Linked DNA regions of Notamacropus eugenii. The protein of the gene in region 3 interacts with the protein of the main gene of each other region in a biochemical or structural test. Links are inferred from orthologs where the notes say so. Each region holds a gene or a part of one and is shown on either strand. Other genes may lie near its edges.

What was found.
Region 1: of the proteins of KLHL12 (region 3) and SEC31A, one has a biochemical effect on the other in vitro, tested with the Homo sapiens proteins (3 studies listed by BioGRID, with this or other methods). The link is inferred for Notamacropus eugenii from reciprocal best matches to the Homo sapiens genes KLHL12 and SEC31A.
Region 2: the proteins of KLHL12 (region 3) and PDCD6 form a complex in vitro, tested with the Homo sapiens proteins (2 studies listed by BioGRID). The link is inferred for Notamacropus eugenii from reciprocal best matches to the Homo sapiens genes KLHL12 and PDCD6.
Region 4: the proteins of KLHL12 (region 3) and LNPK form a complex in vitro, tested with the Homo sapiens proteins (2 studies listed by BioGRID, with this or other methods). The link is inferred for Notamacropus eugenii from reciprocal best matches to the Homo sapiens genes KLHL12 and LNPK.

What each region holds. Positions count from the first base shown.
Region 1 is NC_092878.1:150,497,462-150,504,399, reverse strand, and holds the start of SEC31A (protein transport protein Sec31A), read left to right. Parts: upstream 1-3,929; 5' UTR 3,930-4,223; intron 4,224-5,643; 5' UTR 5,644-5,647; coding exon 5,648-5,726; intron 5,727-6,938. UniProt on the Homo sapiens protein: Component of the coat protein complex II (COPII) which promotes the formation of transport vesicles from the endoplasmic reticulum (ER).
Region 2 is NC_092875.1:342,955,337-342,962,415, forward strand, and holds the start of PDCD6 (programmed cell death protein 6), read left to right. Parts: upstream 1-4,074; 5' UTR 4,075-4,331; coding exon 4,332-4,438; intron 4,439-6,157; coding exon 6,158-6,219; intron 6,220-7,079. Other genes in the region: SDHA (succinate dehydrogenase [ubiquinone] flavoprotein subunit, mitochondrial), read left to right, coding at 536-622. UniProt on the Homo sapiens protein: Calcium sensor that plays a key role in processes such as endoplasmic reticulum (ER)-Golgi vesicular transport, endosomal biogenesis or membrane repair.
Region 3 is NC_092873.1:437,285,089-437,292,428, reverse strand, and holds the start of KLHL12 (kelch-like protein 12), read right to left. Parts: upstream 3,022-7,340; 5' UTR 2,891-3,021; intron 2,489-2,890; exon of another isoform or gene 2,037-2,488; intron 1,019-2,036; exon of another isoform or gene 929-1,018; intron 1-928. UniProt on the Homo sapiens protein: Substrate-specific adapter of a BCR (BTB-CUL3-RBX1) E3 ubiquitin ligase complex that acts as a negative regulator of Wnt signaling pathway and ER-Golgi transport.
Region 4 is NC_092876.1:238,536,205-238,543,967, reverse strand, and holds the start of LNPK (endoplasmic reticulum junction formation protein lunapark), read left to right. Parts: upstream 1-4,747; 5' UTR 4,748-4,910; intron 4,911-7,504; exon of another isoform or gene 7,505-7,593; intron 7,594-7,763. UniProt on the Homo sapiens protein: Endoplasmic reticulum (ER)-shaping membrane protein that plays a role in determining ER morphology. Involved in the stabilization of nascent three-way ER tubular junctions within the ER network.

The DNA.
Region 1 (6,938 bases), on a different chromosome or scaffold from region 3:
CCTTCCATACCAACTAATTAGTCAAAAACCTCAGCTGAGGTAAAGAGCCAAATCTTAGCTGTACGCTTATTTGAGAGTTACCAGACTGTTGGGAGAGCATCTGAGTAACAGGAAATATGGGACACCTCTTAGGGCTTCAAGTTTGAAGGTGGTGGTAAAGGGAGAGTGCATCCCAGGCCGAGGTTAGACATTGTACTGTAGTCTAGGCCATATGCATGCAGGAACCTGAGGGCTCCTTATTTATAACAGCTTGTTCCTTTGGCTGAGGGTATTAGGAAACTGTTCCGTACGTAGGTAGTATGGAACTAAGTCCCAAATGAGGAAAGAACCTCCACTAATGTTGGTTGGCATCTTCTGCAACTTGCCAACCAAAAAAAGTACCTTGGGTCACTGAGTGAACTTAAGTGAGTTGTCCAGGGTCATAGAACCAGGATGTATACCAGGTCTTTTGAAACAAAAGTTTTGTTTTTGAGGTTAGTACTAGTCACTGCAGAGTAAAATCACCTTGGTTAATTAAGATCTGTATGTCAAGTACCTTAGAACTAGAAAGCAGTATAAGAGGGGGGGGGGAGTGTGGAAGCTGCTTTGGAAACAATAGTTTTTGCAAACTCTGGTTTGGTCATCCTTGCTCTCTTAGTAACTAGTTGTTTTATTTTTGTACATACTGATCTGAGTTGTTTTCCTAGGAATAAACCTGGAGAATATAACTTCATGAAAATGACCAGTTCTGGAAGGCAATGCAGTTAACACACCTGGGCTTTGTCGCTACAGCGTAACTTTGGCCAAGTCACTCTCCTTGGCCTCTAAAATGAAATCTGACCAGATGGACCTAAGGTCCCTTCCAGCTCTATTAATCTATGCTGTTACAGAAAAAGGTAAGCTTTATAGATGTCATTTCTTTAAATCTAGATTGCTAACTGAGGGACAATAGTATGTATCTGCAACTCTGATCCATATCGTTCTATATGGCTTTCTTTGCTCTTACTTATATCACTTTGTTTTTGACTCTTCCCTATCAGAAAAAGTGCTTACGTAAATATTTTGGCTTAAGTGGGGACTTTTTAATATACTTTTGGGGTTCAATCTCCTGGTCAAAGAGAATGGACCATTAGCAGCTTTACTTGCTTGATTCCAAACTGATAAAAATTGATTTTATTAATGTTATCGATTTATAGCTTGGCCAACAGTGCAGAAGTGGGCCCATTGTAGCACAGTCCCTTCAATATTGATCATTTGTCATCTTTGTCAGTTTGCAGGTTGTGACTCAAAGGATCTTGTGCTTGTGGAGTTTCAGCGTTAAAGTTCAGCCCAGTGTGGTTTTTGGAATGTTCGTTTCAGCCATAGTTACTTCACTTATTCAGCATCTCCAAGATATGAGCATATCTAAAATTGAACAAGTTTTTTAAAAATTTTTTCATCCATTTAATTAAATTTACGTACGAAGCTTCCTTATAAACAGAAAGTGAACGTTCCTCTTACAGCTGTTGTGGATTTGAGTTCAACTAACTCCCCAAGTGAGCAGTTGACTTCAACATATGCCATCTTCAGCAGACACAAAATGAAAATTAAAGTATTCAAAAAGAAATTAAACTTTAAAATGATTTTTTGATTGCTTCACAACACCCTGTACTGATGTGTCCCTCCTTAGTTTACATTTCTTTATTCTTAAAGTTTGCAGACAGGAGAGGTCACTTGCAAATTGGGTGAGATGGACAGTGATGGGCTTCCCCATCCCCTTTTGAGAGGTTAAGCAAGTTGGGATAACATGGGTTGGGCTAAATGGCCACTTCCAATTCTAAAATTCTGTGAAAGCAAACGGAATATGATTTAAATTGTTCGGAGTTAAATTCTGCTCAAAATGACTGACAGGTTAGATTCAAAATTTAACCTGTATGCTATCCCTAAACCTGTTCAAAATATCTGACAGGATTATAAGATTCCATAAATGACTTAATAGCAGACTCTACCACACTTTCCATTCATAATAGATAAGGGCTTATTTTTGCCTCCTAGCTCACTTCAGTCCTCCCCACCTACACACCAGTTCTCCTCCCACACCCCCTTCCTGCCTCTCTGTTTTATTTCACCAACAAACTTAAGTAGGAACCATCTTGTTTTCACATTTTTTGTATCCTTGGTGCTTAGAATATGACATGTAATTAATGACATAAATTTTAAAGCTGACTGCTGGTACTAAAAAGATCATTTGTATATGCAGAATGTACAAGATCTAGTACATGTACAAGATGGGAGATAAGGCCAATAAAGATCCTCATGATTTGAGAAAATTAGGAATTTGGGGTTTTTTTGTATATTGGATATAAACGCAGTGAACTCTGCTAGTTATTAGATAAATCAATGATATGGTCCTCAGCTTCACGGTGTTTCAACTTTGTAAGGTATTTCTACGTAGATAGGTTAGGTAAGCTCTCCCAACCCCCAAAAGCCTTCACGCTACAATATAGCCACTATAATTAGTCAGGATCTAATTTCAAGATTTTTATATCTACCCTTACATTCTCTTGTTGAGCTTAGCCTGTTATCCTATTTATCACCTATTCCCATCTCAGGTATCTCAAAAGTCACCCAAGGTATGACCATCTGAGGCTTCATAAGCTCTCCACATATCCAGTCCGTCATCTACCGTTAGAACAGCACTGCACAATTTAGAAACTTTGGGCTGCAGACAGGTTAGAGTAGGGACAGACTCACCAGTTGGTTATTATGGGTCATTCGACACAATTCGAAGGGCAAGTTCACATTTTTCACGTTGCTTGAAATCCTTTGGTGTGTCCCAGGGGCTGGATGTTGTGCGGGCCTGCTTCGTAAAATCTTGTATTAAATATTCCCATTCTCATCACTGCTCTTGACATTTCAATTGGTAACCCTACCTCACTTCTGCCCAATCCAGTCATTTTCCAGTCAGTTATCAGTGATTTTCCTAAAGCCCAGGTGCTACATTAAAACTTCAGTGGCTATTACCACTTGGATCAAGTATAAAATTGCACTTAGCATTTAAAGCCCTTCATATGACAGCTAGCACTTTAGCCATTATTTTAGTTAAATTGAGGCTGGTGCTTTAAGCGATTGGCTTGCGGCCTGGTGCACTCTCCTGACCTCTGCCTCTAGCTCACCCGGCTTCCAGTCGCGGAAAAATCCCTCTTAAAGGAAGCCTTTGCTAATCCTTTACACCTTCCCCCTCCCTAACTTCTGCACGGACTTCGAGGAGAGTGCATGGTCCCTGAGCGCTGGGGCCGGGTTTCTGCCTCACCGTCCTCCCTGCTCAGCGGTTCCTGACATTGTAGACACTTAATACTCATTAACAAACTTGCAATTCGGTAAAAATACGCCTTCCCGTCGACCCTGCTGCGGATGACGGAAAGCGCTTCGGGCCCCACGTGTCAGTCAAATGCAATCTGGGTTTAGAGCGCCCGTCGGGCCCCGGCCTCGCTGGCTCGGCCCGTCGCTCCCGGCTCTGACCTAAGCGGCCCAAGTCTCCTGATCCCGCCTGCGGGCCCCGGGACCTGCCCCTTCCCACACCGGCCTAGGCTGCGGGGTGGGCGGTGACCTCCTCGCTCTAGTCCGGACGCTCTTCTGGTGGTTCCGTCACAAGCCGGAGCCGTGTATTCCGGGCCGGGCTGCGGCCTGCAGCTCTGCGCCATGACCTGTGACCCTGACCCCGGGAGCAGGAGGACTCCGGAGAGGATACGTAGCTGCCTCGCAGTAGGGCAACTGAACGGAGCACGTCACAGGCGGGATTTCCTCTCCTTCCGCCGGATATCGGAAGTAACGTTTTCTGACGCCCCTGCACAAGCAAGAAGCACCGCCTCCCGTGGCAACGTCTGCGCCTGCGCCAGGAAGGAGCGCCCCGTGGCTGGATGCGCGCCTGCGCCCGGGAAAACCTTTCTTCTTCCACCCCGAGCCTCCCACCCCCTTTGCTCCCGGAAGTGTTCGCGGGGCGGGGCCGGGCCGCGGCTGCCACGTTGGAGAAGTTCACCGGTCGGGGGGAGGGGCAGCAGCAACGGCGGCGGCGTCTGAAGGAGTGGCTCTCGACTGACTGACTGACCGACGGCCTGACAGACGCCCCAGTACCCCCGTCACCTCCGTCCATCCCGGGAGCCTACTCCTCCTTGTCCGCGGCGGGCTAGGAGCCGGCGGCGAAGCAACGAGAGCTACGAGCCCAGCCCCGGCGGAGCCCCAGGGAGAGACCCCTCGGCTCTCAGGTGCGTACGGAGCCGGAGGCCGGGGCCAGCCCCCGCGCCTTTGCACCGCCGCAGGTGCCCGGTTCTCCTCCTCCTCCCCCCGCGACCTCTCTGGTGCTTGCGACTGCATCCTCTCACCTCCTCGGGGGAGGAACTGCACAGGAGGAAACTGAGGCAGGGTGGCGGGGCGGCCGCCGGGGTCTCGGGTCCCCCCATTCCCAGGCCGGAACCCAAGTGTCCGGCTCGCCCTGTTTGTCCTCCGGCCCCTTCCAGGCGCAGCGACTCTGGGGCTCGGGGCTGTCAGGGACCTTTGATCCCCGGCTCCTCCTCCTGCCTGCGCTCCTGGGCCCCGGCCCCCCGCAGCGAACTCTCTGTGTTGTGAAGGGGGACCCAAGTTGAGCCACGGGGTGCCGGTGAGTGAGCCCGGGGGCTTGGGAGGCGCCTCCGCAGCCCCCCGAACTAGGGAAGCCCGGGACTCCAGCATTGCATGCTCCAAACTTGGGGGATCCTCCTGAGCCCCGGGGTGCAGATGCAGGAGGAGCCAGGTTTGGTGGTGCGGAGAAGTCCCGCACGCTTCCACGGAGCTGTGCTTTCTGGGATGGGGGCGGGGGGGACAGACGGACCGACAGACCTTGGTCGGGTCATCAGACCGTAGAACCGGGCATGGAGGGAAGGAGGAGGGATGGAGACCCATGCGGGGCGGGGGGAAATGAAAAAGATCCAGGATCCACTTTCTACGAAGTTTGGATTTTCTTAAAAAAAATAATAGTGGGAATAAAGTACGTGGAAGTTCTCCCGCGTCCGGGTCCCAGTTCTCTTTCCTGGGTTGGTTGGTTTGCATTTCTAAGTCTGGCCTCCCTTGGCCTTAGAAAGTGTCCTGGTGGGCGGCTTTATGGTCAGTGACAGCTTGTCAGGTGTCATTTCTGAATTAGTATACTTAAGGGCTTGTTTCCTCTGAAAGATACTTAGTAGCAAAACTACTGCCATGGACGTTTGATGCAGTAGCTGGTTTGTCGGGATGTTTATCCTTCTTGCGAACTGGCCTCTTCCTTTTAGGGGATTTTTGACTTTTCTCCGGGAAGGTGTGAACCCTGCATCGTTGAAATTAGCCTCTGTTCGTCGGCTTGCCGGGCTGCTAATGCTGTGGGGATTAAGACCTAAGTCCCTTCACCTCTAAGTGCCCCTGGCAGTTTTCTAGCCCCACCACTGCAGAGCTGGTAGAGCTGGTGCAGATTTGCTTTGCTTGAGGGAGTTCCCTTCCTGAGAGCTATCTACAACGATAAAATTACTAGTCTGAATTGAAAAAAAGTCTGCTGAATTGGTCAGTTCCCTCTATTTAATGTTGCTGGTTATTGTTTACTTGTGAGGCAGCCTGAGGCACTGTAGGGATGGTCGGAGGTTTCTGGCCTTGTAATGCTGCCTCTATAATGTCGTTATACAGCAGGATGAAGCTAAAAGAAGTGGACCGAACAGCCACGCAGGCGTGGAGCCCTGCCCAATGTCATCCCATTTACCTGGCCACAGGTGAGCTGACAAGGGACATTTTGCTGAAAAATAAGTTTGATTAGAGTTTTTTTTAATAGCAGCAAACTTTTTTATTATGCACATAAGCAGCACTAGTAAGATATGAGACCGTCTCCTAGAGAATTGTAAATTTTGTTCTGAAAATTATTTGTCCCATCTGTCTCCTTCCCCTGTCTAGCCATGTTCTGCTTTTGCTTTCTCATCTCTGTTCATATATCTGCTTTGGTGTCAGACATGCCAGGATTTTGGATAGGATAAAGTCCTATCTTGTCACTTCCAGAGTATGAACTCTAAAGTACTTCAAAGCACTTTATAACTTGGAGCTGCTTCCTTACCAGTCTTCTCCCCCTTCTCTGTCCAATCCAGTGACATTGGTTTCCTTGCATGAGACACTCCACCTCCCAGGGCATTTTCACTGGCTCTCTACCGTGCCTGGCATGCTCTTCACCTCATTTCTGTCTCCTGGCTTCCTTCAAGTCCCAACTAAAATTCCACCTTCTACAGGAAACCTTTTCTAGTGCCTTCCCTTTGTAGGTTATTTTCAGTTTATCTTGTATACGGAGCTTCTTTGGACATGGTTTGCATGTTGTCTCCCCCGTTAGACTGAGAGCAAGGACTGTCTTTTATCTTTGTTTTCCCCAACACTTAGCCCAATATCTAGCACAGAGTGGGTATGTAGTAAATCTTTACTGAGTGACTGACAATGAAAATTCTTAGGAAAAAAGATAATTAAAAGGAGAGAACTAATGTCATTTTTAATTTTAAACTTTTTTGGAGAAGAGGATTGGGGACAAATGCATTGATAAATGTGTTTTAAAAATGTTTTCTGTAATGCTTTTTTTGGTAAATGGTATTTTATTTTTTCCAATTACATTTAAAAATAATTTTCAACATTCATTTTTTGTAAGATTTTGAGTTTCAAATTTTTTTCTTCCTCCCTCCCATACCCTCTTCCCAAGACTGTAAGCAGTCTGATACAGGTTAGACATGTGCAATCATGTAAATATTTCCACATTAGTCATGTTGTAAAAGAAGAAACAGAACAAAAGAGAAAAGCCACACACACACAAAAGTGAAAATAGTGTGCTTCAATCTGCATTCAGATGCCATCGTTCTTTTCTCTGAATGTGGATAGCATTTTCCATCATGAGTCTTTTGGAATTATCTTGGATTCATTGTATTGCTGAGAAGAGCTAAGTCAGTCATAGTTAA
Region 2 (7,079 bases), on a different chromosome or scaffold from region 3:
GCCTTTCCAACTCTGTTGAATTTGCCAGAATTTGAGATTTACTAACCTTGATTTCAGGAACATGGGGTCATCTTCACCATGATGAGGGTGTAAGTATAGGACTCCAATAAAAGAATTTCATAAGGAATAGATTTTAAAAATCAGACACTCAGCAAAAATAGTGCTAAGAGAAGGCTGTTGAACATTATTCTTACAGGATATCATTACTCCAGATTGAAAATATTATTAATTGAAATAGTTCAACTAATAGCAGTTGAATACAGAAAAAACTGAATGTTGAAGGGTAGTTGTATGGGAAATTTTCATATGTAAAGTCTGTGAGATCTGAATGGAATTTCTTCTTTATTGGTCAATCAACATATATTTATTGGGCACCTTTTATTTTCCATATAATTAGTTGATAATGAAGGTAAGAATTTTGGGGGGATTAGTAACTAGGACAGACCTCTTTTTAGAAACATTTTTTAAAATTTTTAATGAAATGAATAATATATTGTTTGGAGTGTAAGCTGACGTCTCACTCTCCTTTTTTTAGGTTTCTTTGGAATATAGGCCTGTAATCGACAAAACTTTAAATGAAGCTGACTGTGCCACAGTTCCACCTGCTATTCGCTCTTATTGAGTTCACCAGCTTTATAGATCAATTTGTGTAATTATGTATAATAATGCTTCATTGAGTCTGGCATATGTATGTAGCATAATGATCTTTTTAAAAAATTCTGTTAATTTGTTCAGGGTTAAAAAACAGTACTCATGATTGACTCAGATTATCTGTCTAATGGCTCATCTGTAAAGTGAAAAAATGCAACTAGGAAATATTAAGCTTTCCTATGCTTTTATTTTTTGAAGTGATAAAACCAGGCATGTTTCTTAAATAAAATATATTAAATTATCTTTGCATTCTTTAATATTTCAGAAGCTGTTTAAAATCATCTTACATGTCTCCTATTAGGCATATCTTTCTGTTCAATACATAGTGACAGTATGGTAACCTTGTGATAATGTCACATTGAAATTCAGAAATGCAGTAATGTTAAATAAAAGTGAAAAATAACTGCAACCTTCAGTACTTTTTTATACTAAGCAAATTATTTTGTTAAAGGTAAAGGCAAGTGTCCCAAGTCAATAAGCTCTGGTACTTGAGGACAGTTGCCAACTGTTGGTACTTGGGCTCAGAGAATGATTTCTATGATTGCCTTGTTTCACAAGCTGCTCCTTTAGTCATGCCCCACAGGATCCAGCTCCATCCCTCTGAGAAAGCTAACATAGAGTATCTATGTTGAGAATACAAAAACTTCTCTGACTTTTGCATTTTTCCTCCAGTTCAAAGGAGGTAACTTTCCACTTTACTCTTAAGAGAAAAAAACATCTCCCTTGCTGAGATATTTTTCCATCCATATCTTCTGTCTAGATGTTACTTGAAATACTAAGAGCTCTGGTTTTTCAACTTAGTATCTCCAAAGCTTGTAGTTCACTTGGGTGTGTTGGGCTGGGGTAGGGAAGGGGGCACAGGTAGAAGGACCACTAAGCTCAAGGAAGGCAGGGTATGTTGGCAGTCATAGAGGAGGGAATGGGGTGCCTCCTTGCAAGTGTTCCCCAAAGATTATCCAGATATTAGCATTTTGAAACAGTATCTACTGATCACAGTTTAAGAGCCTTCAATTATAACAGGAGATTGTTTTACTTCATGAGCACTAGATTTGGAGAGAGGATGTCAGTTTAAGTCTTTGCTCCCCAGCTTACTACTATGAGACTCTTGGCAAGTCACTAAATGGCCTCTGTTTTCTTGCCTTTAATATGAAGAAGTCCTTATTAATCTAATAAACAGTCAGTTGTGAGGAAAATGTTTTGTAAATGTTCAAGTGGCACATAGGTATTCAGAGTGTGTTCCCTATCAAGTACATGAGAAGGTTTGTATTATGAACAATACTCAGCATTAAACGGAAAAGCAAAATCACCTACAGTAAAGTTGGGGATACAGCCAATCAATCAGCATAGTAGCTGTACTTAATTAATTCCTTTGGGTTAGATGTTTGCAAAGGATGATGTCATCTGAGCACTCTGGGAGCCACATAATACGGTGAGCTTCCATTGTGAAGATGGCAAGTAGAAGAACTCTGAAGATTCACTCAAACACAGCTCCTAGCGATGAGAAACACCAAAACAGACCACCTTGCCGTGCCAAAATCAGCTATCCAAAGGGCATGGTTCATTTTTAGCACAACTGTTCATCAGCCTGAAAGAAAAGTTATAAATGGCAGGTGGAGAGTGATTATAAACAGAAAGTATAGTTATTCCATGTGGGGAGCATTGCTGCTCTTACAGGACATACCCACTCACACCCAATCAACAAGCATTTATTGAGTGCCCACTAGGCATGTGAGTTCTTTAAACCTAAAAGACATACTTAGGAGCAGGTCCATTTGAAAAATGCATATTAGGTCCTCTTAAAAGGAACAAAAAATACCCACTTCTACATTTTGCTTAATTCTTAAAATCACAGAATCCTACAGAGACATCTTGAAGATCTTCTAGCACATCCTCTGACAAAGCAGACTTTTTTCTGTATCAGCTGTGCCACTTAGTAATCTTGCCTGTTTTTGGACTGAATTGTACCTACAAGCTAAAAGAAGATTTTGGTTTTTTTTTTAACTTCCCAAGACGCAGCTTTTGAACTAGGATGGTACAATGGTAAAGTGATAGCGAGTAAAAGAAAGGCATTCCTAAGTGATAAAACCCTTACTTTTAGTAAAGAATAACTATCATCACTCCTTTTTGGTATGAGTTAGCAAGTTATCTGGAAAAGGCCCCAGGGAATTGTGGTGCTGTGCCCCAAAGGGAAAAGCACTGGATTTGGACTTGGAAGGCTGGATTTGAATCCTAGATGTCCCACTGAAACTCCCCAATGTGACCTTGGACAAGTCAGTTGGGAAGGTCAGACTAGACGGGCACTCCAAGCTTTTCTCTAGCAAGAATTTCTTTGGCCCTGTAAGAATGGGGTTTTCAGGAAGTGTCACTTCCATATTATTTTGTTTAGTCTGCATGTTTATGGCCATTCAGCACCCTCGTCCCCCTGCCCTTCACTTTCGCCTTTAATCTTTTGGAGGCTGCTAAAAATGATCTTGCATTATCTAGGCATATCTTTGGAGTCTGAATTTGCTTTTACAATAAACTGAAATTTCTTAATTTGCTTTTTAATCTTTGTCCAATAACTGTGTCTCTACATCACCTCTGTTTCCCGGGATGTTCCCAACTCTCGTCCCCAAACGATATTCCACCAGACAATCAAAGTGATCAGACTCATTAAAACTAGCCTGAACGTCGGGGACACTACTGCAGTCTTCCACACCTAGCATCCAGGCCAGAAGCCTGGGCATTGCTGTGAAGCATGGCGGAACAAGAGACTCAACGTTAGGGTGGCGGGTGAAGGTTCGCCAGGCACGGTCCTCCCCTCTGCACCTCACCGAACAGGGCGCTCCCGGCTGGGGAGACCCCCTGCTCACGAGCTTTGGCCTCTGCCACTCTGAAGGCTGCCCCTGCATCTTCCCCGCGGGGTAAGCAGGCGTGGGGGCGGGGCGGGAAGGTGGACCAGAATTCCCAAAGTGCCTCCCGGAGCCAGAAAACCGGTTCTACCTCGGGGACTCCCGCGAGCTCCACTTCAGGTGTCCCCCTCCTTACCCGAGGATCCCAAGGACCGGCCCCGGAGCAAATACCCCCAGCCGTGACCCTGAGCGGGCTGGGGTGGGGCAGGAGGAGTGGTCCGGAACACTCGGCCCTGCTGCTCCTCAGCCTTAGACTCCTTTCTCTAGGGGCTGAGAGTCGGATTTCCAAAGTGGGGGCATGCTTAGCCTTCGGACGGGTGAAGGTAGGGCTGCAGGGCCCTAGAGGTCCCCGGGAGTCCGGGGCTTCCGACCCCCGCCCCGCTTCGGTCACACACCAGGAAACTGAGGCCCCGGGAGGGGAACGCCAAGGAGGAGTCGCAGCTCGATCCAGGACTCGGAAAAAGGAGTCCTTCCTAGAGCCAGACACGCCCTGCTAGGCCCCTGAACCCGAGGCCCTCTGCACCCTCCTTCCCCCGGGGCCGGGAGGCCGCCCCAGCCTAGCGCCCTTCCGTTGCCGGGCAACGAGGCCCTCGCGTGGGCACTGGAGAGCCTCGGCCACGTGATGCCCCGCCCCTCTTCCCGGCTGTGACCATTAGCCCGGAAGTGACCTTCCTTTCTTCCGGCTCCTCCGCCCCCGCGAAAGAAAGCGGAAGTGGAGCAACCCCGCTGAGCCATTCTCTCCAGTTCGCGCTCCGCCGCTTCTCCTCTTACCCTCCCTTCGACCGGCCCATGTCCACTTACCACTACCGGACGGCCGCCGGGGGCGGCTCCGGCCCCGGCCCCGCTGCTGCCGCGTCCCTGCCGGACCAGAGTTTCCTGTGGAACGTCTTTCAGCGGTGAGGATGCGCTGGCCCCAGCCCCGGGTTTCCCCTTCTTCCCACGAGCGCCCCCACCCCGGGCTGGACGGAGAGGAGGCGGGGGGCGGGAGTCGGGTCCTCGGTGCACCGCGGCCCCGCTCCTCCGCTGCCCTTCCCCAGCACCCGCCTCGGGCACGGGATCCTAGCGGGTGCCCCCCGGCTCTGCCCCCCTCTTATAAACAGCGTTACAGACGAGGAAACTGAGACCCGAGAGCCGGGCTGCTCCCGCGGTCCAGACTTGGCGTCTGCCCCCGAGCCCCACGCGTGCCCACGGAGAGCGCGGATCCCTGGGGTCGTGCCCGCTTCCCGGCCTCCCACGGCCATCCAGTGCCCGGTGGAAGTGACCTTTGAGGCCGCCCCGTCCAGTCCCCTCATTTCACAGGGGTCCCCTGAGTTCTTAGGCTCAGCGTCTTGGCCTCCGACCCACGTATGGATTGCCCTGAGATCCAGGACCTCAGTCCCGAGGCTTCCCAGGTCGTGGGAGCTTGGGTGGTGGAGCTGGAGTGCTGGCTAGAGGTGATCTCCTGGAGAGGGCCCAGAGGTGGTCTGCCCGGCAGCCCGCTCACTGCAGACATGGCCCTGCACCAGGCTCTCTGCTCAGCTGTGGGTAACGTGGCTGAGAGGCAGGGCTAAATGGAGAGGAGGAAAGCCTTCCTTCTCCGAGCTGCGTGCCCAAGGGCTAGGAAGGAAATAGAGAAACACGTCCGGTCACTGGCTCCCATCATCTTTAGGTCTCTTGGTGTAGGAATGTTTCCTCTTGTCCGAAGGGGGGATTGTCAGGGACTGGTTGTCACTGATTGTGTCTGAAAATGAAGATGTTTTAAGTAATGAGGGTTTGGGAAAGGAGATGTGGTCGGTGTGATGGGATCCACAAGGAAGCAGGTAGAGAGCCAGGAGACTGCCTACTTTCTTTTCATGGATTTTTGTCAAATAGTGAGTTCTCTTTCCTGTGGCTATAGTCTTTGGATTTACCAAACACTGAATTACTAGATGAATGAAGGGGGAAAGCCAGAGGTTGGGGAAAATTGGAAGTGGTGAGCCTGATTCGCTCCTAGATCTAGAATGGTGATTTAGAAAGTATGATGACTAGAAACCAATGAAAGAATTTCCAAAACAGTCTATTCTCTCTGTCGATGGAGATACATAGATAGATAAGTAAGTAGATAGATAGATTTAAAGACTGGGTCCAGCTCAGACTGGAATAAAGGGACTGCTCCCAGGATGATCCCAGGACTCATCCAGCAAGTGATCTTTGACCTTCTTTTGTTGCCTGGACCTCTGTTTGTGACTCAGTATAGACACCTAATATGCTCCAAACTCCTGAGTTTAAGAGATCTGCTTCCTGGTAGCTGGGATTATAGGACCTGCCCCATCACATCTGACTGAAATTTTTATTTACTTACCTCTGTGTATAGATATACAAGTAGAGTTAAACATTTTTGCTTTTGAAGTAGCCAAAGAGAGTGTAGTCTTCTGAACTGAAACCAGGACAGAGTGGAAAAGTTGGGAGAAAGTAGTTGATAAATAGTTTGAAGCAGGAAGTGGGAGTGTGCTAGAATTAAAAACTTGAACTTATATTCTGAAGAAAAGTAAACTTTTAGGATTTAAGAGCTCACTTATCTTTGGCAGTATAAAGCAGTTCTGTTATATTTCTTTCATTTTTAGTCATCACTGTAATTATTTCAATTATTTCCATAGGGTTGATAAAGACAGGAGTGGAGTAATATCTGACAGTGAACTTCAACAAGCATTATCCAATGGTAAGTGTGATTTAGTGAGATTTCAAACTGCAAGCTTAACTTTTAGTCTGGTTATTTCCCTAGTTTTAGTTTCTGAGTGAGGAGTTGAAAATACCAAAGTATATTGTGCAGATAATTATGGGATTGACTGAAATGAATATGTGGTATGATAGAAACATATTTTTGCTCGTTTTATTTTTTAGACAGTTTCCTAATTACTGTAGCGGTCTCCATTTTGAGATACTTTATTTGTGTCATTTAGTGCCTGTAAGCATTGTCTTCCACTATTTGAGTGTGACATACTCAAGAGCAGGGATTGTCTTATTTTTCTGTATTTTTCTCCATTGTTCAGCAATGCTTGACATTGTAAACATACTTAATAAATTGAGTTGTAGTCCATTGACTTAAGTTCTAGATGTACAAAAATTGGAAAGTATTTGGAAAAATTGTTAGTATATTTGAATATTAAGGGAAAAGTAAAGAGTTTAACTGCAGAAACAAATCTTAAAGAGAGTCAAGAAGAACATTTAGGCCCTGATGTTTAGTAACTCTTAGAGATCCTGATCAGGTCACAGAAGGAACCAGTGGGATTCTCAGGTAACATTGATGGAGAAAGTTGTTAGAGGTTTTGGAGGACATCCATGTGGCACTTGTAAGGGAACTTGGTTGCTATAGAAACTGCTGAAGCTCCAGGGTTAAGTTGCTACAGAAATGATTGGGGATATCCAGTGGCACCAATAGAGCACCTCATTATAGAGGGGCGTCTTAATCAAGCACAGTCATTTTGGGGACGAATCCTAATGGAAGATAAGATGAATGAAATTACTGTTGGGGTTTCCATATTTAATATTTAATTTCCATATTTAATTCATTCTTATAGG
Region 3 (7,340 bases):
AGAAAACAGAAATACTGCCCTGACTAGTAAAAAAAGGGCTAGAAGGTAAATTCCCAAAATTTAACACAATTCAATTATTAATGAGCTTGCTGTTGATCTCTGGCAAAACCCTAAAAAAAGAATAAGTTGGTAGGCTGAGTAGTAAGAATGGTATCATTAAGAACCAGAACAAGTTAGTTAAAAACAAGTCATGTCAGAATTGATCAGGGTAATAATGTACCTGGTATTTTAGTGTATGATATTATACAATATCTCTTATGGCATTCCTTGTAAATTAAATGGTAAGATTCCAGTTGGTAGGGAGCGTTGGTTGTCAACTTGAAAAAAGGTCCTTAGCACTAGTCTCTTTGAAATTTTTAATCAACGGTCAACAGATTAATTTTTTAAAAGATAGAGATGAAACATTTATCAGATACATAGATGAAGTAAAGCCAAGAGGGAAGTATATGCTGGATGAAAGACCAAAAAATTTTGCAATAGGCTGGAACCAAAATGGGCTATATTAGAGGTAAAGTAATTCAGTTCATAGTGCTGGACTATGAATCAGTTAGTCCTGGGTTCAAATCCTGCCTTTGATATGAGCTGGGTAACCACAAACAGGCCACTTAACCTCTCTGGTCTTCACTTTCCTCATTTGTAAACTGGGAATAACTGAAGCACCTACTTCAATAAGGTACTAGGAAGCTCAAATGAGATTATGTAATGGGGCTTTGCAAACTTCAGAGTGCCAAGGAAACTTCAATTATTATTACTTGCTGCATAATAACTTAGATGTTACCTATATTTTATTGTATTTTTGTTAATTTTATTAGATATTTCCCAATTACATGTAAATCTGATTTCGGCAATGCTGGGGCCAACTCTTTGACACCTTTGCTCTAAGAAAATGATTCTATGACTCCACCTCTTGGTTCCCTTCAAGTCTTACCTAAAATCCCATCTTCAAAAAGACTTTGGGAATTCTCCTTAATGCCAGTGCCTTCTGAGATTATCTCCAAGTTATCCTGTATATCCTTTTATATTCATTTGTTTGCTTGTTTTGTTTGCCATTAGATAGTGGGTTCCTTGAAGGCAGGAAATATTTTTGCCTTTTTTAAAATCCTCAGCAGTTAGTCTAGTACTTGGCACACAGGAAGTATTTAAGTAATAATTGTTGACTAAGGGGTTCTTGGGGCAATGGTTTGAGTAAAACAGTGCAATGTGGTAGAAAGAAGTTTCGCCTGTAAATTAGAAAAACTAGTTCAGACTCTGGTTCTGCTGTTAACTACTTGTATAACTTTGGAAGAGTCTCTTCACCTCTTCAAGTTTTAGTTCTCTCAACTGTGAAATACAAAATTTTGATTAGATGATTTCTACAGCCCCTTGCAAAACTAACCTTTTATGATTCTTTTTCTGAAAGGGCATCTCTGTTACTGGGTATTAATTGACCAAAGTTACAATGCATCAATAAATAATAAGATCATATTGTATTAAAATTTCTCTCTGGATTCAACCCAAGAGCTTAACTGAGGCTCCTGAACACATGGAAACCCACCAACTTGATTTATGGCAAAGTCTATTACCTTCCAGGTTCAATAACAGTTACTCATGGCCATCATTACATAAATAAAAAAATCGTATGGTTTGACAACACAGTTACAATTCATTAAATATGATGACTGGTTAAATTTGAATCAGTCCATTTTTTAAAAACAAATACTCTTTGGGGGAAAGAATGGGGGAGACCAACAATTTGCCCCATTTTCTTCAGTCTAAAGCTTTTCAAATGATCAAGAGAATATGATTGATTAAAGTAAAATTGGGGAGTCTTTGATAGCTTATTCTCAACCACCATTTTTCAATATCAAAGACAATTCTAGGCCACCTCATTAGCAGAAGTATACTTATGACAACTCTTTCATTACTACTTATCTTTTTTTTTTTTAAAAAAATAGGTTAATCAACACCTCATCTGTACAGGGCAGGTGATCACTGTTCCCACTGTACAGATGGGAACATAAATCACCAAAGCAGAAACCATTACAAAATCAAGGGACCTTGAGTTATTGAGTGCTGTCGATTCTCTTCTGTTCGGGGTGTCACTACAAGTGGGGAGGAGGAGCCTGTGCAACCACTCTGAGGGCACAGAAATGTCACATACGAGGCAGCTAGACAGCACAACGGTAAAATACCACTGGACCCAGGTGAGAAAGCCAAGTTTCCATCCAGCCTTACACAAGCACTAACTGTCACTTAACCTGTTTGCCTCAGTTTCCTCAACTGTAAAAGAAAAAAACCACCGAGTGGCTGTGAGGATCAAATGAGACGTTTGTTTAAAAAAAAAAGAGTGCTTAGCGCAGACCCTGGCACACAGTAAGAGGAACATAAATGCTTATTCCTGTCTCTTGCCATCAGAAGGAAAGACAAGTGGAATCAGCTTTGCCAGCTCCCTGTGTCCCGTGAGGGCAAGGCGTTACTTCTGGGGTTCTCGGTTTATCGGCCGTACAATGAGGGGGTCGGACTAATGATCGCTGAAGTGCCTTCCCATTTAAAAACACGTCCGGTTGCGCTACACCCAAAATCAGCGCTCACAGAAGCCACCCCCCCACGTCACGAGCAGACCCCCCTCCCCAGCTGGGTCTGGAAGGGTCGTGGGAACGTGCGGTTCAACATCGGTCCACTTTTCACTTGCGGCAGGATGACAAAAGGCCCTCTTCCCAGCCCCAGAAGGAGGCCGGTCCCGGGAGAAGGGGGCGGCGGCTCCAGGGCGCAGCGGCCGGCAGTCCCGCCCCGTCCTCCCGCGGGCTCCGCGCCTCCGGGTCCCTCCCCGGCCACATGAGGGCGGCGGCGCGCGGACGGGGCGGGGAGAGGGCAGGGGAGGCTCAACTGTGGCTCCTCCAACCCCACTCACCTCAGCACCCCGCCCGACCCAGCCAGGCAGGGCTGGCCCCCCGCCCGAGGGGGTGGGGTGGGGTGCGGGGCCCGCAGGCGGCTCGGTGGGCGCCGAACAGCCGCCGCCGCCGCCTCCCGGGTCCGGAGCCGCCAGAATCGTGGTTATCGTCGTCGCCGCCGCCGTCGTTGTCGCCGCCGCCGTCGCCGCGCGACGTGATGACGCAAGGAACGCGAAGACGGGCCCCCTTCGCCTCCTCCAAGTGCCACGTGACGTAGGGGGGGTCACATGACCCTCCCCGCACCACACTTCCCGATGCCGCTTGGAGCCGGTGGGAAAAGCGGAGGAGGGAATGTGAGACTTTGGCGGAGCTGAACGGGGTTTGGGCGGCACGCTGAAGCCCCTCCTCTACGGCGGCTGGCCGGGCAGGGCCTCCGCTCAGGACCCGCCCGCGGCCGGCTTCCCCGGGCGCGTGGCCAGGCCGCCTCTCAGCGCTTGGAGGAAAGCTGCGGAGCCGTGGCCTCCTTCCAGGCCCATCACTCAGAACGGCGTCTAGGGGCCGGCGGGGCTCGGGGGGCGCCTGCCGGTGTGGGCAGAGTCGACGCTGGGGCCGATTCTTCCCCCTCCACGTTCTCTGCATCACAATGGGGCTGAATCATCCGCGCCCCCGGGCCTCGGGCGGTCCCTCGTCTTTGGGGGCGGGCCGCCTCCTTCCGGGACTGTTCCGTGGAATCCCGAAGCCCCGGGGTCCGGCCCTACGGCCGTAACCTCATCCTGAAAGGCCACTAGGTCCTAGAGGAAGCAAGGCCTTTAGGGCGTGGGGTCCGCCGCGATCTTGCTGGCTTCCGTAGTCACGGGAGATGGGAGCGGGCGGGGCCGGTAAAAGCCTGTACCCCACGGTTTGTGGGAGGGGTACCGCCTGCGAGTCTGACCTCTCCCCTCAGGGACTCTGCAGATCTGCTCTTCCCCCAACTGGCTACTCCCAACGCCCGCCTCCCTGCGTTTGTACAAGTCAGTCTCCATCCCTGGAATACAGTCCACCTCTCTGCCTCACAGAAATCGTCTTCCTTTTAAGGTTCACCTCAGTCTTCCCTGGTTTCTTGCTGTCACTGCTGTGTTTTCTTAGTACAGAGTTTTCATCCCAGTAGAATATAAACTTCATGAGGGTTGGAACTGTTTTCTTCTTTTATCTTTGTATCCTCTGTGCCTAGCACATAATAGCCACATCCGTAATAAATGTCCCTCCAGGACCACCATAAGTCAGTTAACAAACATTCATTATGTGTCTCCTATGCCGGGTAGTGTGTGTGCGCCAAGCCAAGGGGTACAGAATGAGGCACAAAACATTCAATTCCCCCATAATATAAAGTAGTAGCTCATTCTAATGGGGAAGACAACAAATGAATATGTACAAACAAGCTATATACAGGGTAAATAATAACTAAAAGACAGGGCACTAGAATTAAGATAGTTTGGAAAAGGCTTCCTGTAGATGGGATTTTAGTTGAGACACCAATCTTCTTGATTCCTATGTTCTTTGGTGCTGATGTGTTTTTTTTTTTTTTTTATCAGCTCCCATGAGTTTAGTAATCATTTTTGGGTAGATGACTCCTAACCTCTCCTGAACTTGATTTCCAAATTTTAGTTGGCTGCTGGACATCTCCACCTGGTTGTTAGATAGTCACATCAAACTTAAAAAAGTGGAATTCCTATTTCCCCCCAAAAACCCATCCTGCCTCTGAATTTCCCCATGTCTATTGGCACAATCATCTTTTCAGTTACCTAAAGTTCTCAACCTTGAAGTCATCCTTGCCTTTGCCTTTTCCTTCAACCCCATTTCCCTATTCTGTATCCAGTCAGTTGCCAGTCTTGATTCTTAATCCACATCTGCATCCTTATTTTTCCTAAAAATACAGTCTCTAACTTAATTCAGGCCACTATCACCTCTCAGCCCGGACCATAGGACCTATGTTTTAGCCTCCTAATTGGCCCCTTTCAGTCTCTTACCTCCCTAAACTCAACAGATCTGCCCATGTCTTAGCCCTGCCCCAAAGTTTTCAGTGGCTTCCTACAGTCCCTAGAATACAAAATATTCACATGTAAAGCCTTCCACAATCTTGCTTCCTTTCCAGGTCTTTTAAATAATAGTAATAATAGCACTTCTATAGCACCTACTATGTGCCAGGCATTAAGTGCTTTACAAATATTTTATCATTACAACAACCTTGGGAAGTATCTTCATTTTGTAGTTGAGAAAGCTGAGGCAAACAGGTTAAATAACTTGCCCAAGGTCATACAGCTAGTATCTGAGGCCGGATTTAAACTCATGTCTTTCTGACTCACCTAGCTGCTTTCTGATTTTACAATTATAAGTGGCTACAGTCTTCCAAACTGGTCTGACTGTTCCTCACACAGGACATTCCATCATTCTCTGTGCACTCCTCTCCGATATCTTCCTCCTCACTTGTCTCTGAACCCTTAACTTCCTTCAAAGCACAGCCCACATACTAATTATCTCCTAAATAAGCCCTTTCCAGATCCCTCCAGTTGCTAGTATTCTGTTCTCTTGAAATTACTTTACAACCTGATGTTTACCCATCTTGTGTACACAGGCAGTTCCCAGCAGAATTCAAGCTCTTTGGGGGCAAAGGATTTTTCATTTTTTAAAAATTGTATTCTCAGCTGTATGATCTTGTCTTAGATGCTTAGTAAACATTTGTTGAATTTAGTGACTATATGTAGCACTTCTGGCTCACTGAAACAGGTTACTTAATTCATTATTTTATCCATTATTAATATTTTGTTCTAATTGGTTCTTCTAGTGAGTCCCTTTATGTTGAATCATTCATGAAAGTTAAAGGGAATAAACCAGACTTTTGCAGAACCTGTCCATCCTCTAACTTTTCCCTGCCAAGTCACTAATCTCAAATCATATACGTCTCTGGCTAAAAGGCACTTGGATGGGTTTTGGCCAAATCTGGCTGCTGAACTTAGGGAATTTTAAAATATGAAGAACATAGCTCAGCCACATCTTTTTTTCAAGCTTCCCGTTTTTCATAAACAAGAAGCTACTGGTAACTTTTCCAGCTGGCTGTTTGTTAGGCATCTTGAACTTGATGTCCCATAGATCGCTTACTAAACAGTCCAAAACTGCACTCATCTTATTTCTTCTCAAGCTCTCTCTTCCACTAGTACTGCCCAGGGTACCATTCTCCTCCCTGTCACCTGAGCCCATAACCTAATTGTCATCCTTGACTCTATACTGTTATCTTCCCCTTTCCCCCAGCCAGTATTTTGCCAGGTCCTGCCAATTCTGCCTTCGAAATATCTCCATACATGGCCCCTTCACTCCTCTTACACTACCACTGTGCTGGGGTAGTGTCATCACTTCATGCCTAAACTCTTGCCACAGCCTTCTGCTTGGTCTCCCAGCCTCAAGTCTTTCTTTGCTCCTGCCCATCCTCTACTTAGCTGCCAAATTCATCTTCCTAAAGTGAAGGTCTGACTGCCACTCCTCAATTCAAAAAACTCCAGTGTCTTCGCTATTATCTCCAAGATAAAATATAAAATTCTGTTTGGCTTTTAAAGCCCTTCAAAACCATTTATTACCTTATTAATCTTATACTTTACTGTCCTCCAGTGACTTTCTGGCTATTCCTTATATAGGACACCCTGGTCACTAGCTGTTTCCCATGCCTGAAATTCGTTCCCTCCTCATCCCTAGGTCCTGGCTTTCCTTAAGTTTCAATTAAAAGCCCGTTCTCATAGAAGTTTTTCCCAACCTCCCTTAATGCTAGTGCTTTCACTCTGCAGTTATTTCCAATTTAACTTGTATATAGCTTCTTTGCCCATGGTTGTTTGCATGTTGTCTCTCCCGTTAGAATGTGAGCTTCTTGAGAGTAGGGACTTTTTTGCTTCTCTTTGTATCCTTAGCATGTAGCACAGTACAGGGCACATAGAAGGTACTTAATGCCTGTTGACCTGACCTCAAGTGGCACAGAGGTATAAGGAACCTATGAGATCCTAACTCTGTAACATTCAGTGACAGTTTAGGTACATACTAGATCTCTTAAGCTATGGGACATTTTAGACATATTCCTATTTTCTGGCCTGCTTTCTGAAGGTCAAGGCTTATCCCGAGTTTCCTTCACTACCCAATCCTTCCTCTGTTGTTCCTTGGATGCTCAGCATCGTTGGAGAATGTCACAAAATAAGGTTCAAACTTGGATGGTCTTCGTGGCCTTAGATGCCCTGAATGTAATAGACTTCTGCTCTAGTCAGCTACCACCACCTTATTTTCTTCTGCTTCACAGCCAGTCTTGTAGAAACAAGGAAAGGAGAGGGTACCTGATGCCTCTATTTTCTCACTAGCAACTCAGTCCCCCACAGTCTAGCGTCTATCACAGCTGAAAGCTTCTTTGAGGTCACCAAAGCTGATTTTCACTTTTCATCCTCAGATGACTTTTGGGCC
Region 4 (7,763 bases), on a different chromosome or scaffold from region 3:
ATTACTTAGGTACAAATTTATATTGTTAGCTAACATTTTCAAATGCAGAATGAAATGTAGAATTGAAGCAATATCTGGATAATGGCTAAGCTCAGTTTAGAGAAATGCTTTAGGAATTTTCATGTCTTTCGCTTAGGCATAATATACTATTAAAACTTTTAACCTACAACCTGAAACAATACTCAAGTTGTTCTCATATAAAAAAAAAGTCATTGATTTTCTTCAAAATTTTAAAAAAACTAATGGTCTAAAATCAGTCAAAGGTTTTCAAATGACTTTAAATATAAACTGTCATTATTCCCTTTTAAATTATTTTTGTAAACTTCTTAAGAAAGGTTAATTTTATGAATCCTCTTTTCTTGGAACCATGTCTACATAATACAATTGAACTGTTTATGACTTGGTAAATTTGATTTCTTATTTATTTTAATGGATGATTTTTTTACAATTAGACAAACTTTACATCTAGATGAATTGACTATCAAGACAGCCAAAACTACTGAATTGTGTCAGGGCCTAGTGGAGTTTAACTAGACATAACCATGTCTTGTTAACAGAGAAACTGCTATGCAGAGGTCTACCTAGTTATAGATTCATTATATTTAAGATTAATGCATTAAGAAGATTAACTTTATCTGGGAAACATTACAAAAATAGGCACTAAGCAAAGAGGTATATTTTAGTTTTATTTCAATATTGCTACAATTGACCTTCAGGAATATGCTTGTTTAAGTATCTTATAAAAATGATTCTATATATAGAAAAACACATACTAACCCTTAAAAATAGCTTCAAAACCTAAGCATGTTTTCACTTATGTTACATAAAATAAGTACATACTTATTTTATGTTAAGTCAGAATTTATTTAAACATTTAGATTACTTAGTGGAAATAACAGGCCTCAGAAAGAGATTTGACTTAGTTGTCTATTACTTGGGAATACTCCCGCCAGTTTTATCAGGAAAGAGATAAATAGCTAGGATTTTCAGTTGCCAAGTAGACCAAGCACTCTTCTGTTTCTATGTATTGTACTGCTTTAGGCTCTAATTCTGTAAGTGGCTTTTCTTCCATCTTATCTTCAAGTCTTAGTTTTCCAATTTTCACTTCGTCCTCATTTCTTTTCACCCTTTCTTTTCCCTTTTCTCTTATTCTATCTTCTTTCAAATCTTTGCACCAAAGCTCGTTTTTCATGCACTAGGCACTTTGCCTTTCTACTACTTCTTAAAATATTTTTCTTCTTCCATTTCTGACCACCTTATAAATCACCATGACTTAATATTTTTCCTGTTAGCTAGTGCCTTGTACATGTTTTAGTAAGCTCCTCAGGGCAAGAACCTTGTCTTCCATATTTTATGCTTTGTAAAGTACCATGTACTCTTATGGCTCCTATTAACAATAAATCTCACTATGAATTAGCTAAACCTACATCCTCCTAGTTTTATGTGTAAGCTCTAGGCACACACAAAGGCTAGTACTACAACTTATTTGGCACTTCAAGGTATCCTTATTTCTTAGATAACACTGCAATGCCACCTTTTGGTGCTCTCAGGCACACGACCCCAAACCCATTATGACCTTGCTTATCCTTTTTTTTCGGGACATGTCATTCAAAGCCTTTTTTTTTTTTAAAGAAATACCTTACTCTTTTTGACAATCTAGATTGAGGAATACATGTCTGAAGGTCAAGCTGCCTTTTAATTTCAAATAATGCTTGAAGGACAAAATTCCAAGTTTCTGAAAATGTTTTGTGTTCCAGTAATAAAAAAGTAGAAAAAATATGTCAAAAAGTAAACTGAATAAATATTTATGGAATTGTTAGAAATTAATATAGCTGCATACTATGTTTTCTCAGTTTTCCACTGAAATACTAGTTGAACATTTCTGGTGCATTTGCTTCAGGCTCAGATTAATAAATTAATGCAAATCAAGGCAAACTGAAGATGCTCAATGTATGGCTTAAAAGCCACAATTTGTTTTTTTGGGCACTCAGTCCAATGTTTTATTGTCAAGTAGCCAAAGATTATTTTTGGTATGTTTCTGCCAGGCAGTTTAGGTTCCTTTCCCCCTAATCAGGTACCTATGTCGCACTCTCAGATAATATTCTCAGAATTTATTTAAGTAATCAAGTCTCACTAAAGTGAGAGCTGGTATCTTAAGGAGACCTTTCCCAAATGTGTTACATTTACAATTTATAGGGGCCTACACAATGTTCAAGTTGAAGGGGATCTTTATAAGTCTAAGTCATTGTTTCTTAAAAAAAAAAAAAGGAAATTGATGCTGAGAAACAAAATGACTTGCCCAAGGTAATATGCAGGTGTGTTTGTAAATGTTTAACAATTGGCTCTCTAAGGGGAAAAAAAGGTAGGCAGGAAAACATTTAAGTTTAATTTGCATCACTGTTATTTTCTCCATCATGTTGTTAAGTCTAGATAATCAACAAAACAACAAACCAAACCCTGATTTATAGCTAAAATTTAACAATGGACTCTTGAGTGCCTGCATGAACTGGCTGTCACACACTACAGGTTATATAGCTAGCGCCTGGCAGAACTAAAACTTGAATTCAGCTCTCTGGAAACTGAATCTTATGTTCTTTCTCCTATATTACATCATCCCTAGAGACACAAAAGCATCAAGAATAAAATTAAAATTGAGCATGGTGGGGAAGACATTTCTGATGTCCTTGCAACTATTACAAATAGGTAACTTAACTTATTGGCAGAGCCAAGACTAGGGGAAAGGAAGGCAGCTGTACAACATGGGATACTTGAAATATTGTTTTATATGAAGGCAAATATTTCAAATGTTAGAACATTTTACTTCCCATGGTACATGCTCTGTGATAGATCAGTTTCCCAGTATTACAGTGAAGGATCAAAGCCTTTGGTAAATATAAATGCACAGGAGACTTAAATTTTCAAACTTTGCCCAGAGTGGCTTGGTAGCTATACTGGCTCTATTTTATAGCTGAAATTAACATAATTGATGACTTCTCTGAACATTGGTGAGGTGGAAGAATTTCATTTTCTCATGCTTAGTTTGAGGAGCCTACATTATTTGTGTTCTCCAGCCTATCCAGATTTCAGTTTTCCTCACCTGCTGGCCAGACCCCCCAGAGTCCCAAGATAAGAGTGACTCCAACAACACTTTCAGTCAGAATAAAAAGATCTTTGTGTCTGTCACCAAGAGTCATCATGGAATTTGTGATGAGATGTTGGCCTAATTTGATCTCAGGGCCAGTTAGGTGGTACAGTGAATAGATCCCTGGGCCTGGGGACAGGAAGACTTGAGTTCAAATCCAGCCTCAAATGCTTACAATTGTGTGATGTTGGCAAGTAATTTAATCTGTTTGCTTCAGTTTACTCATATATAAAATGGGGATAATAACAGCACCTACCTCCCAGGGTTGTTGTGTAAGATAATATTTATAAAGAGTTTAGAACAGTACTCAAGGTTATATCCCTAGGCCGAACCATAACTCAAAGCCAAGTATTCTGTTTTCAAATCTACTGCTCCTTTCGCCAAGCTTGCAAACTAGGGATCATCATTGACTTCTCTCTCTCTCTCTCACCCTCCAAACATAATCTGTTGCTAAGGCCTGTCAATTTTACATTCATAACATTTCTTGCATTCACCCTTTCCTAACCTCTGACACTGTCACCACTCTGGTACACAAGCTCTCATCACCTCACATCAGAACTATTTCATTGATTTGCTGGTTGGTCTTCCCACTCCAATCTGTCCTCCATTTAGGTGACAACGTGAACCTCTTAAAACTCAGATCTGATCATGTTCCCCTTCCCCCATTCAACTCCAACGGCTCCCTGTTACCACAAGGATTAAACACAAAATCTGTTTTGGTGTTTAGATCCTTTCACCTTTCCAGTCTTCTTAAAATTTATACTTCTTTCTGCTGCGATTTTGGGATACTATGCTCTTCAATATATCTCCAACAAGGCATTCTATCTCCTGAGTCTACTGGGGGCATTTTCTCTGGCTATCCCCTATGCCTAGGATGCTTCTCTCTGTTCATTATCTTCAATTTGTCCTGTGTGCATCTTGTTCGTACATATTTGTTTGCATGCTTTCTTCCCCATTAAACCATAAGCTCCCTGAGAGCAAGGGACCTCTTTTGTTTTTCTTTGTATCCGGGCGTTTAGCACAGCGTCTGGTATACGATAGGCCGTTAATGTTTACTGGTTATTCCATGTTGCCCTGTTCTGCTGTGGCTCCAAGGAATAAAAGTACTCAGAAAAAGAGGGATTAACATCAATTGCGATTTGAAGGTCCTAGAAATGAGGATTTGCCGCCACATTAGTCCACACTGCCGTTCAATCAGAAAGGTCCTCCATTGGAAGAGAAGAAGAGCGGGAGGCTCAAGGACGCCAGGGTCCCTTTGTCCGGGAAGAGTCTGGTGCCTGCCTCGCCGCCATCTGGGAGACATCTGGTTGGGGGGCACCTCTGGCCTGCCATTCAGCCTTCTCGGCTTCTTCTCCCTGGCAGCGGGTAGGGCTTCCAGAGGACTCTGCACAGGTTGTCATTTCCATCCGCAGCGCCCCTTGAGTGGTACGGGGAGGTCAGGGAGAAACAGGAAAAATGGCTTAGGCCGCTTCGAGTCCGGTCAAAGCGAGAAAAGAGGCGTCGGAGAGACGACTAGCCCCAGGCGCCCCGGCGCCGCCAGCATCAACCGCCTCAACTGCCCGCCCCCGTCACATGACAAGGGAGCGCGGCGCGCGGGGCGGCGCTGCTGATTGGTCGGAAGGCGGGGGCGCGGGGTTTGATGGGAAGGGGCTGCTGGAGCGCCTTGTCACTAGTGGCTGCTTGCCTGCCGGGGCGGGGGGAGGCTGCCAGCGACCGCGGCGGCGGCGGCGGGCGGGCGTCAGCGCCGGGCTCGGCCCCTTTCGTGCAGGTAGAGCCGGGGGAAGGAGCGGGGTGGGGGGGGCCCGGGTATTCCTTCTCCCTCTGGCCTCCCGGCACCGGTTGGCCTAAAAGAAAGAAAGGCGGAGGTGGCGGCGGTTGCAGCTGGGGGGTTTGAGCCGGGGGCTGACCCACTCCCGCCTCCTCCTCTTTCCATTTTGATGCCCAGCACCCCGGGGCCGTCCTGGCCAGGGGGAGGGGAGAGGAAAGGGCCGAGGTGGGGGGGGCGGCGAGGGGCTGTGGGCGTGTGTGGTGGAGGTCTTCCCAGCCCCGGCCGAGGCGGGGGTGGGAGTTGTCCTTCGCAGCCCCGCCCTTTCTGTACTCTTGGAGCTTTCTGGAGATGGAGCGGGATTGACGCGAGCATCCCCTCCCCGCGGGTGGGGGCCGGGGGTGGGCCGGAGGGACCCGTAGGTCCGGCGCCAGAGCTGCTGCTTTTGGGGCGCGCTCTTGCCGCCTCCCCACCGGACAGCCCGAGAGCTGAAAACTGTCAGTGTCATGCTGGCCAGCCCGCGACAGGGGAGCGGGCTCAGGGCGTGTGCGCCTCCGCCTCCGCCACCGGCCACTTGCCTCTTTATTTGGTATCGGAGCCCCGCTGGGGGGGAGGGGCGAGCGGGGAGGCTGTGTGGGTTGGGGGGGTGGGCGTGGCCAAGGGGAGGAAGAGGGGCTGGAGGAGAGGGAACCCAGTTTCGGCCGCGGGAGAGAGAGAACAAGAGGGTTGATGGATCAACTTCGTGTTGCTGAGGGCTGGTCGTGGAGACGAGCATGTAGAATACCCCTTGGGTGGCAACCGATCGCTTAGAAGTTGCTTGTAAAGCGACAGTTCTTTGGGGATCCTTGTCCGGGTATAATTTCGTAGTAATGCCTTCAGAACTCAGGCCTTTGTTATCAGTAGAAGAAAAACACCAGAGAAAAATTCCTTGATATAATCATTCTATTTAAAATGTGGTCACCCACAGATTTCTTATTTGAACAGCCTAGAAACCACTTTACACAGAAGCTTCATTAGTATAACAAATAAATGTTTCCAAAAGAAACATTGAAACCTTGTCTGGCAATCTTAGGGATTTTTTGAGAGTCAGGACACCCCACTTCCTTCTGCTTTGCATGTTTTCTATGTCCCTAAATATGTATGTACATCTATATACTTACATTTCACAGGGACTATCTGTGCCCAATCTGTGGTAAAGCATTTCGAGCTCATATTGTTCTGATTAGCCTTGAAACTTGACTTTATCATGGTGATGTCATTTTGGTCCTCTTTGAGAACAAAGGACAACCACTAACCACGTGTATGTGTATGTATATACATCCATACATTATACATGTGTTTGTTGGCTCCCCTGTTAATGTAAGCTCCTTGTGGGCAGGGACTATTTCAACTTTGTTTTTTTGTTCCCCCAGAGCACAGTGTATGAATTAACTTGAATTGGGGCTTATTTACTCCAGGGAGCTTCCCTTAGTACATGTTGCTTTTAGTATCTCCAAACTGTATAGTAATACTACTCTTCTGTCCTTCTTGGGCCATAGGTTGTTTTTTGAAAGAACCAGTTAATCTTAGCTGTGTCACAAAGTTAGGAGAAACAAATTTTGCAGTGGTGGGATGTGTTTAAAAATTTAAATTTTATAGGCACAGTCATCAGTGAAACCAAAGTTAGGTAATTCTGTTATGAGCAGAATTAAAGTAAAATATTAATAGCTGACAAATACATAACTGGTATCAAACAAGTTTATGTTTTTATAGACATAGACAGTACAATAATATACACAGTACAATACAAGTGTGTTATGTGTATTATGTGTATTATAAGGCATATGCAATACATATGTGTGTGATTTATTAAAAAAAGCATATAATCTTTATTTCCTTTTTTGTCCTTTAACCCCACAAGGAAGAGGTGACATATACATACTACTTGTTGCATTATTGAAAATTGGATCATTTCATAATAACCCAGAATATCCTTTAAAAAGATCTTCCTTTGGGGTATAGTTTCAGACAAATGAGGGTGATGTCAACAAATTGACAGAATTATAGTATAGTAAGTCATTTTAATAGCTTATTTACTTTTTGAAGGTTTAGGTTTCTATTGCAAATTGTCTTGAATCTTACTTTGAGTACTAAGAAGTGCTGGTGTATTTCATGGCATTCTGGAGGTACTGCCAATGATTATATAATCTTTATTAAAGTATATTTGAAATTTGATAAGTTAAATGAACCTAACCAAAATCTTCCTTTGCTTTTTCTCCTTTGGAAGAACTATGAGAGTATATTAATAAAATAGTGTATTATTTTGTTTTTATTTTTTATAGTAGAAAAAATGGAGGCAAAACAACTTTACTTAATACTAATTAACTTAATCTGTAACTTAAACTTATCATTTAACAATTTGTTGTACTTTTAGAAGGTACTGTATGTAATCCACTCTGAATAATATGTTGGTTAAGAATATCAATATCCAATCCCTAAGATTTTGAATTACAATTTCCAAACTGAAGTTTGTAAGTAGTATCTTAAAATATTTAGTTAATATAGTGGATAGTATTGCATATTGGAAAATGCATTATTTGAAAACTTGTTGTTCCAAGGTCCACTGGCACCTGAACTGGAATAGAGAAAATTTTTGCATGTTCTTGAGGGAGAGTGTCATTGGATTTATCCATCTCCTGATTTAATGGCAAGTGAATTATTTCATGCATAAATTTCTAATAGTAGAGATATCTAATCTTGCATATTTACCATGGGTGTTTTAGCTGGAGTAGGCCTTGAAATGTGAGTACACAGAAGACTACATGTGAGCATTGATGAAAGTATACATAAATTAAAGCAGAAGAAAAATGCTTCACT